3 linked regions of the Macaca fascicularis genome follow. The protein of the gene in region 1 purifies or fractionates together with the protein of each later gene. This does not show direct contact. Links are inferred from orthologs where the notes say so. Each region holds a gene or a part of one and is shown in the gene's direction. Other genes may lie near its edges. The genes, in order: HNRNPR, FUS and DDX5.

Region 1 (3,710 bases):
ACAGATCAGTAGAAATAGCAGGTTCTCGAGAAATAGGTTTAGGACTAGCAAGAATTAGTGTCCTTTGGGAATTACCCCTTTCCCCTGCATGGCTCTTTTGGCTTCAGAGATGGATGTATCTGCTTTATTTTATGAATATCAAGTAGCTCCAAATCTGTGGGGAAAAGGTTCCTGCTCTATTACTTGTGTTATACATTGCTCTTGAGTCATTTTAACGATTTCCCTCACAGTCTGCCACCAACGATGTGTGGACGGCAGCCAGGGAGGGAAAGAGGCATTTCTCCGATCGTTCCAAGGAAAGATTACCTAGACAAAATCCTCAGCAAAATGACGAGCCAAATCATCCTTAAATTGTGTGCTCACTAGAGGCGAAAAGATGACCGAAAGAGGCCCGAACGCGTGGCTATGGGCGTGTCTGGGGCGAACGCCGGCAGCAGGGGTGCGAGGGAGGACTCGCGGGCTAAGCGCGGCCGGTGGCGGGACGCGAGCGCCATGGCGGAGCGGGGCCAGCGCTGACTGTAGGGGGCGGGGCTCTGGATGCGGCCACGCGGCGCAAGGCCTAGATTTTGAGCCTCGCATCGGCGGCAGACGAAGAAGGAGGAGCCTCGTCCACCCAGGACCCGGTGCCCCCAAGCCTCGCCACCACCAAGGGCTTCCACCACAGACCCCTTTGTGTGCCTGCCCCCGCCTCGGAGGCGCCCCAGCCAGCGGCGCTGAGCACCCTCATTGGTTCAACCGACAGCTTCATCGATTGGCTCTCGAGTCGTCCGGCGTGGTCCGTTTTGCCTCGATACTATTGGTCACCTGAGCTGCCTGTCAAGCCGCCTCGCCAAGCGATTGCCCCGCAGCTCGGAGTCCCTGGAAGCAGTTCCGGGAAACCCCGCGTGCTGCCGGGATCGCGTCTCTGTCCATGAGGGGGGGGAGGGGGTGGCGCGCGCGCCATTTCTAGTCGTTTTCAAAGCGCCTCGCGCTGATTCTCACGGGCCCGGCCGCCGGCCCCCGCTCTGCCCTGGTGAGTCTCGCGCCGGCCCGTGGGGGGAGGGGCCGGGAGCCCCGATCCAACCCAACTCAGCCCGGGCTCCGCGCCTGGTCCCGTTTCGTTTGCGCTCCGAAGCCCCCGGGTGGGGGTGGGGACGGGCTGGGGGCGGCTTTGGTCTAGTCCGGCCGCGCGGCTGTGGGCCTAGCCCGGCCGAGACGCCTCTCGCCCTTGCTCTTCCTCCCCCCGCCCCTCCAGCCAGCGGTCCGGCCCGCCGGGCGCTCTCCGCGCGGCCTGCCGGGGCCGGCCGTGCTTTTCCCGCCTCCGCCCGCTGCTCCATGCGGCCGGATCCCGCGAAGGGCCTGAGGCGCCCGCGGCCCTGCCGCTTCTCCCCGCCGGAGCCGCTTCGCTCCCGCCGCGGCCGGCCTAGCCCGAGTGGGATGTGCTGATGATCCGGACCGGCCTGAGGGGGTGGGGGTGGGGGCGGAAGGCGGGGTGCAAATCCCAGGGTTATCTGAGCCAGGAGAAAAGTTTTGTGTGAGCAGAAACCAAAAGGCCGATTTGTGTGGGAAGCCTCCCTCCCCTCCCACATTCTGCATGCCGCGGGCTGAGATTTGAAGGAAAAAATGACTACTAGAGGCCGTGGAACTTAGGCTCCAAGCGGCGCCTGAAATGGGTAATTCTGAGACCGTCAGAGGCGCACCAAATTGGAAAGGCGATCCTTTTTCTTACACGGTAGTAACCGTGTTGCCAAAATTTTTTAAAAGCCCAGGGCTTCTTGGAAGGTTCAGTCCTTTCACACTACCTGTTTGAGATTTTTGCAGTCCTCAAGTGGCTGAATTGATGTCTCATGAGTCAGTCGTAGGATGAGAGCTCGACACTGCTAAGCCATGAGATAACCGTTAGTCTCATTTCGTTGGTTCTTTTAAAGCCCGTCTCTTAATATGAAGAATTTGCACAGGGAGGTTCAGAAAAAGTCAGGGAGGCGTTAGTGCTGACATCCCGAATTTCCCAGCAGCCCTTTTAAATCTTTAAAAATGTCTCCTTTTTTTGCAAAAATGTTTAGATCAAATGACTCCCGTCACGTTAGTATATTTGCTGCATCCAGAAATATGGTTTGGCTGTGTGGCATTGTGTTGAATTGACATGAGTTTCAAATGGTCTCATATGACATAAAAAGTCTTTTTAAAATGAGCACTTTGTATTTGGCTTGAAGAGAGAGGGCTTTTCTTGATCCGAAAGTTTTATTTTCTGGAATCTAATTATTTTACCTTTTTTTTGTTAAAATTTACAAACTTTTTTGGAAAAATTTAACCAATTTCAATATCAACTTGTAGAGCCTTTGCAATGATATGGTAGGCATAAATATTTCTGTCTTGTGCTTAATACACAACTTGTCTTTTTGCTTTACACATACTTAAAAACACCACCTTAACAGATGTTCATTGAACTTTTCTGTTAAAAATTTGCCTCTTTTCTGTGACTAATAGTATTCCTAGGTGCAATGCTGTAAGGGTCTTGTGATACTGAGAACTTTTGAGTTCTGATGATCTTAAGGTAGTATGTGGGGATGGGGGAGCATGGGAAAACAGAACTATATGTTCGCAAGGAGATTTTGGGTTTAGGATGCATCTTTATAGAAATAGGTTGTGTTAATCAGTAAACGTATTCATCTCACACAATACAGTTTCTTGATCAAAAGTGTGACAGTTTCGAATGTTTCCGTTTTTGCTAGTTCATCAGAATTTGAAGCTTGCCTTGAGAAACATCCACCCAGAATTTAACCACAGTCTGCGTCTATTAAGGGCTATCGAGTCTTAATAGTGTTTTGTAATTGTGAGGAGTCATGTTATCTCATTTCCAGAGTAACCCTTTGCATTTTCCTTTCTTCTTCCTACTCTGTACTATTACCTCCTTCCCCTCTTGGTCTTCCTCCCTCTTTCATCAACTTCGACTAAGTATCAGTGGACTTTGAAATGAAAAGAAGTTGTTTTAGGCCAGAAGAGTGCACCTGGTGCATTTGCACAATGTTCGATAAGCTGTCTGGAAGTGTGGTTATCTTATGTGTCTTAGTACTTTGTAGGAGACTTGTATTTTCTTTATAGATGACTAGGTATCTTGAGTTTCATCAAGAAAAGTAGGCTTTTTCTTGAGATCTACCTTTATGTCTTTTATTTAGTATGTGTTGCAATGTCTTGTTCTGCTGCCTATTATCTTCATCACATTATAATTTCACCACAGACAAATGCACTTTAATTCCCTGTCTTTTGAGGCAGTATACAGACTGGCCTTGTATGGTTTATTATTTACTCTCTCTCTTCAGGGAATCAGTCCATTTCAGCATTACCTACTGAATGTACAAAATTATTTTTGGTAGGTTAATCTGAGAAATCTGGCTGAAGTTTAGCCTAATTAGGTAACGTTTTTTGAAATATTTGGAAGAAGTTGTCTATTCTTCAGTATGTTTTTACATCTTTATTTTAGTGATAGGAAAATTTCAACATGTACTTTTTTTTTTTTTTTAAAGCAACCTGAACTATAGCTCACTTAGTGTTTTATGTGGACTTAAAACAATTGTTTCGCTTTTAAACTTGGTCATTTTTTCTTTTAAATCTGTGAATGGGAATAGCGAATTAATCTTAGAACAAAAATTAATGTCAAGTTGGTTTTTTTTTTTTTTGTTTTCATTTTGTGTTAAGTTAGGTGGAGAAAACCCAAACCACCACCATGTTGA
Region 2 (3,654 bases), on another chromosome or scaffold:
CAGGGGTAAGATTCAGTAGTCGTCTTTTACCAAATGGGTTTGCCCCAGGTTAATAAGAGGGGTTTAGTAGGCCTTGGACAGGGCTGTTGCCACACCTGGCACTTAGTGACCATCATCATGAGAAACTGGAGAGTGCGTGCTGGAACACGTGGTGCCATCTTGACTTTAGGATCCTTTTGATCATTGTGTCCAAGGCTTGTGTGTGTGTGAGAGTGGGAGACAACCTCCAAATGTTTTAATTCTGGAAGAGGGATGTAACATTGCCCTAAGAATGGTGAAGTTGGTATACCTTTATAAAGTACGGAATGGTGTCAATGAATGCAATTCTATGTATATGGACTTAACTCAGATGGGCAAATAGAAACTAGCTCTGGGAAGGAACATGTGCACTACTTCAAGAAAGATTGGAAGCATGTGTGGCTCATGGGAAATAACCAGGTCTTAAACAGCACAAACTGAATTCATGGACCAGGAAGGTCTTAAACAGCACAAACTGAATTCATGGAAAAATGACAAATTTGAGAAGTCTCCCAGTAAGCTGGAACTTTTCTGGTTTGGTTAACTAACAAAAGGTTTCTTGATTTGTCTCAACATTTAAAGCCAAAGGCTTGGGTTCATAACTTAGGTGTCATTGCGTGTGGGTACAATATTTATATATGGCGAATTCAGATAAACATTGGTCAAAGATGGTCTCTGGAAAAACAAAATAGAGGCTGCATTACGAAAGTAAGATTTCTGGTCTGTTCCCTGGGACATGCTTAAAAAATACAATAGCTATTATGTATGGTTTTTATTTTCATGTGGTTTTGGGGAAACATAACACGGTTTTAAGGATGGTTTCTAAAGATGAAATTAAAAATTGTTCCACAAGGGATAAGTGTCTTTGGTAAAGTTGGGAGAAACTGGATGGATGCACATCTCATGGCTGGTGGCGAGCCCATCTCTCTTCTCTCGGGTGAGAGAACTGGGCCAAGCTGAGTTGGTTTGTTCACTTTAATGGGTCTCCCTTTCCCCTGCCATCTGTGCTGAGGACATTTCCCAGCTTGAGCTGGGGGAGGCAGCATTTTCTGAAGTGTGGAGTTGTCTCTGTGGAGACTCAAGTTACAGATCTTAAGGGGCCTGCCTAGAATTTTCTCCGGGCAGGCGACCCAGGAAAGGGTTTGGAGTGAGGCTGTGAGCACTTACATGATACTTTACAAGTTTGGATTTGGTGTTGATTTTTTTCCTTGTCCATTTTTTCCTGTTGACTAACAGCTCCTCTTCCTTGTTTTTGTTTTTTTTTTTGTTCTTTTTTTCCATGTCACTTAAGGCCCTCGGGACCAAGGATCACGTCATGACTCCGGTGAGTTCACAGGTGGTGGCATGAAGAGTGGCTAAAGTGGTATCAAGACTTTGCCTGGATATTCTTTGAAACTATTATAAAAAGGAAACTGAAAAAAAGGGGATAGAGAAGGAAGGGAGTTAGGTGTATCCTTAGCTAGCAGTGAGAAGTATTCATTATTAAGTATTTCTCAGAAATACCTGGCTTGCGGGTTCCACCCCCAGCGATTTAGAAGGTCTGAGATGACCCTGAAAACCTACCTTTCTAAGAAGTCCCTAGTGATGTCGATGTGTCTGCACCACACTCAGATGGTTTTTACAGCAGTGGTTTTTTAAAAATGTGGATCATGTCCAAGCTGGTAAATAAAAACTAGTGAATGAAAGACCAGACCACATGAAGTAAAGCATTGAATTCTTGTTTAGATTGTATTGATGTTTGTGTACTAGATTTGAATGTAAAATGGGTCTCTTAATTCGGGACCTTCAACTGGAAGTTGATAAATACTGATGGGCTTTTTTGTGTGGTCTTGGGCATTTCACTCCTGAGCCCGTGTTTCCATACTGTATACTGTGTGTTAACATGTTTCAAAGGATAATTTTCAAACTAAATTTGAAATTTATCAGCGTGGGTGGCATATAGGGACTCAAAAGGGATGTGGATTTTTCAGTTGTCTTCATAAACCAAATAATACGAGTTGCTTGATGGATACTAGGTGCTTTAGGTTTTTTCCTATGTCATTTATTTTACCTTTTCACATTCGCATTTTCTTCTCTGTTCAACAAGCAGAACAGGATAATTCAGACAACAACACCATCTTTGTGCAAGGCCTGGGTGAGAATGTTACAATTGAGTCTGTGGCTGATTACTTCAAGCAGATTGGTATTATTAAGGTACTTGTGGAGCGGAGTGGGTGCCTTCTGTCAGTGTTGCAGGCTTTTGGATTTCACACATTAGTAAAAGCAAGTCTTTAATGGTTGCCAGCAGTAAAAACAAATCTTAATGGTTGTTGCCAGCTTAATTTGTTGAGGAAAGAGCCTTAGTTACTGTTTTCTAAAAGAAGTTCTATCTTAACACGAAAAGTATAACTGATAAGAATGCCCTGAACTCTGAAATTTGTACTTTATAGTAACTTTTAGTTTTATCCTTCAATATTGGAGGGAAAGACAGTTTTCCTCAATGGAGGTTTACATGTGAGGTAGGACGAAGTAACTAGGAAGAGGGGAGCTGAAGTTTGGGAATGATAAACCTCATGTTCTAGAGGAAGAATATGGAAAGGGAGTACTGTAGCCTTTAAAATTGATGTTACCGGCCGGGCGCGGTGGCTCAAGCCTGTAATCCCAGCACTTTGGGAGGCCGAGACGGGCGGATCAAGAGGTCAGGAGATCGAGACCATCCTGGCTGACACAGTGAAACCCCGTCTCTACTAAAAAATACAAAAAAACTAGCCGGGCGAGGTGGCGGGCGCCTGTAGTCCCAGCTACTCGGGAGGCTGAGGCAGGAGAATGGCGTGAACCTGGGAGGCGGAGCTTGCAGTGAGCCAAGATCACGCCACTGCACTCCAGCCTGGGCGGCAGAGCGAGACTCTGTCTCAAAAAAAAAAAAAAGAAAAAAAAAAAAGAAAATAAAATTGATGTTACCTCATTTTGCTTTCTTCAGACAAACAAGAAAACGGGACAGCCCATGATTAATTTGTACACAGACAGGGAGACTGGCAAGCTGAAGGGAGAGGCAACGGTCTCTTTTGATGACCCACCTTCCGCTAAAGCAGCTATTGACTGGTTTGATGGTATGTATGAGAAGGCTGGCAGAGGTGGGGCTGAGGATATAGGGCAGCAAGTCATAGGAAGCAAGTCATAGTTTGAGGGTTCATTTGAGTCTTCCGGCACTTTAGCTGCGGTTTCAAATAGTCTCATTTTTGCTTATGAGTCAGTAGATTATAAACCATTTGAGAAAGGCACGCTTATCTTGTATTTTTGGATTAATGTATCTTGCATTTAAAGTCTCTTGATACTTTTTTATTTCTCTAGGTAAAGAATTCTCCGGAAATCCTATCAAGGTCTCATTTGCTACTCGCCGGGCAGACTTTAATCGGGGTGGTGGCAATGGTCGTGGAGGCCGAGGGCGAGGAGGTGAGGCGCTACCTGCTGTTGGTGCAAAGGGGGGTGATGAGAGTAGAGAAGATGGTAAAGGCTTGCATGGAATGGGTTAGGTTTACCAAACTTGGAGGGGGAGCAGACCCATACTTGTTTTATCTGCATTAGGACCCATGGGCCGTGGAGGCTATGGAGGTGGTGGCAGTGGTGGTGGTGGCCGGGGAGGATTTCCCAGCGGAG
Region 3 (2,523 bases), on another chromosome or scaffold:
TTGAAATGGAGAGAGCAGCTTTAAAAGGTACTAAGCCTTTTACAAATTGGTGAGTACTGGCACATGAGATCTAGAGCAGGAGCAACTTCTCACACATAGTCAGTGGGAAAAGAAAGTGCTTTGAAAGTTCCTCCCTCACCTACACAGTAGTCGTCATGTCGAGACCTGCCAGAGAGAGACACATTCTCAAGTGAATCCTGGCTTCTTGGAAGCGCTTGCCTAGACGAGACACAGTGCATAAAAACAACTTTTGGGGGACAGGTATGTTTTCTTGCAGCTGCGGTTGTAAGGTCTTGGCAAGACAAGCAGTGTGGCCAGAAGTTTGAACTTCTGATGAATGTGTAATGCAAAGGACCTTGTACATTTTTTTGTTTCAAGGTCCTCAAAATGAGCACATGAAGAGGTTGCTGTGAAACTTTAAGTGGCCCTACTGCGCAGAAGCATTCAGATGTCACTTGATGATCTGTAAGGGAACTTGCTGATTTGGGAATGTGCTAGGGAATACACATTCCTTTTGACAGGGTCTGTCACTGGGTGGGTGATAACTTATACAGATGACATGTGCTTTTTTTTCTTTTTTCAACCTCAATGGTATTCCTACAGGGAATGGATAACCATTTTAACTGTATTTTTTGCAGCCCGTACCTTCTTGGGAATACAATTGTCTAACTTTTTATTTTTGGTCTGGCTGTTGTGGTGTGCAAAACTCCGTACATTGCTATTTTGCCACACTGCAACACCTTACAGATGTGGAAGATGTGAAATTTGTCATCAATTATGACTACCCTAACTCCTCAGAGGATTATATTCATCGAATTGGAAGAACTGCTCGCAGTACCAAAACAGGCACAGCATACACTTTCTTTACACCTAATAACATAAAGCAAGTGAGCGACCTTATCTCTGTGCTTCGTGAAGCTAATCAAGCAATTAATCCCAAGTTGCTTCAGTTGGTCGAAGACAGAGGTTCAGGTAAGGATGACTGATAGGAAATGTTGGTAGTTGTGAGTCACATCGTTGTCTACAAATCCATTTAAATGGTATTGGAGGGTGAGTAAAACCTTGAACGGAAAACTTATGTTGAAAAACTGTAAAACCATTTCACGCCTGCAATGAATAGATCTAATTCTTTCTGTCCACAATGATTTGTGTCATAGACATAATTGATCAATTTGCAATTTTTTTTTTTTTTTTGACAGGTCGTTCCAGGGGTAGAGGAGGCATGAAGGATGACCGTCGGGACAGATACTCTGCGGGCAAAAGGGGTGGATTTAATACCTTTAGAGACAGGGAAAATTATGACAGAGGTTACTCTAGCCTGCTAAAGAGAGATTTTGGGGCAAAAACTCAGAATGGTGTTTACAGTGCTGCAAATTACACTAATGGGAGCTTTGGAAGTAATTTTGTGTCTGCTGGTATACAGACCAGTTTTAGGACTGGTAATCCAACAGGGACTTACCAGAATGGTTATGATAGCACTCAGCAATACGGAAGTAATGTTCCAAATATGCACAATGGTATGAACCAACAGGCATATGCATATCCTGCTACTGCAGCCGCACCTATGATTGGTTATCCAATGCCAACAGGATATTCTCAATAAGACTTTAGAAGTATATGTAAATGTCTGTTTTTCATAATTGCTCTTTATATTGTGTGTTATCTGACAAGATAGTTATTTAAGAAACATGGGAATTGCAGAAATGACTGCAGTGCAGCAGTAATTATGGTGCACTTTTTCGCTATTTAAGTTGGATATTTCTCTACATTCCTGAAACAATTTTTAGGTTTTTTTTGTACTAGAAAATGCAGGCAGTGTTTTCACAAAAGTAAATGTACAGTGATTTGAAATACAATAAATGAAGGCAATGCATGGCCTTCCAATAAAAAATATTTGAAGACTGAATTAAGTGGAAATTGTACTTTATTTTATATATATAATGTTATGTAAAACTTTGCTTAGATGGTCTGGTTTTTTTTGTTTTGTTTTGTTTTTAATCATGAAAACAAATGACTGCTCCTTTTTATTTAATTTGGGAGGCAGGGGGAATCAGAAGGCCCTTTACAATGAACTATATTGCAGGAGTCAATGAACTGATTTAGGTGAATTTTTAGTTATAGGCTACATTGCATAAAAGCTTTGTCAGCTCCCAACATCAGGGGAGTCATTTAATATAGCCTTTTCCTTATTTGCTAGTATGGTTAAATGAGAGAATAGTGAAATAGATACAAAGTCATCTATGTAATGTGAGAATGTGGATGACTTTGGCAAAATTTATAATTTAAAAAGCTCCAAATAACTGGTTTTTTTTCAAGAGATTTATTCTCATGCTCTTGGCTATACTGTGAATTACTGAAATGTTGAACAAACCTGTGAAAGACATACATTCGCTCTTTAAGATGGCCAGGAGCTAAACTTGAGTCTCCTTAACTGATTGAGTTTGCACAACGTTCTCAGTGCAGGTTACTTGTAGATTCTAGTCTTCACAGGCTCCCTGGGGCTCTTAACTGTAGTCACGCTGG

Evidence for each region.
Region 2: the proteins of HNRNPR (region 1) and FUS purify together in Homo sapiens (affinity purification with mass spectrometry; 4 studies listed by BioGRID and IntAct, with this or other methods). This does not show direct contact. The link is inferred for Macaca fascicularis from reciprocal best matches to the Homo sapiens genes HNRNPR and FUS.
Region 3: the proteins of HNRNPR (region 1) and DDX5 fractionate together in Homo sapiens (co-fractionation; 3 studies listed by BioGRID and IntAct, with this or other methods). This does not show direct contact. The link is inferred for Macaca fascicularis from reciprocal best matches to the Homo sapiens genes HNRNPR and DDX5.

Annotation. Positions count from the first base shown.
Region 1 is NC_088375.1:211,778,954-211,782,663, forward strand, and holds the start of HNRNPR (heterogeneous nuclear ribonucleoprotein R), read left to right. Parts: upstream 1-900; 5' UTR 901-1,012; intron 1,013-1,123; exon of another isoform or gene 1,124-1,652; intron 1,653-3,710. UniProt on the Homo sapiens protein: Component of ribonucleosomes, which are complexes of at least 20 other different heterogeneous nuclear ribonucleoproteins (hnRNP). hnRNP play an important role in processing of precursor mRNA in the nucleus.
Region 2 is NC_088394.1:29,374,999-29,378,652, forward strand, and holds part of FUS (RNA-binding protein FUS), read left to right. Parts: intron 1-1,309; coding exon 1,310-1,342; intron 1,343-2,107; coding exon 2,108-2,211; intron 2,212-2,977; coding exon 2,978-3,107; intron 3,108-3,348; coding exon 3,349-3,450; intron 3,451-3,582; coding exon 3,583-3,654. UniProt on the Homo sapiens protein: DNA/RNA-binding protein that plays a role in various cellular processes such as transcription regulation, RNA splicing, RNA transport, DNA repair and damage response. Binds to ssRNA containing the consensus sequence 5'-AGGUAA-3'.
Region 3 is NC_088390.1:71,091,205-71,093,727, reverse strand, and holds the end of DDX5 (probable ATP-dependent RNA helicase DDX5), read left to right. Parts: intron 1-747; coding exon 748-972; intron 973-1,199; coding exon 1,200-1,603; 3' UTR 1,604-1,906; downstream 1,907-2,523. UniProt on the Homo sapiens protein: Involved in the alternative regulation of pre-mRNA splicing; its RNA helicase activity is necessary for increasing tau exon 10 inclusion and occurs in a RBM4-dependent manner. Binds to the tau pre-mRNA in the stem-loop region downstream of exon 10.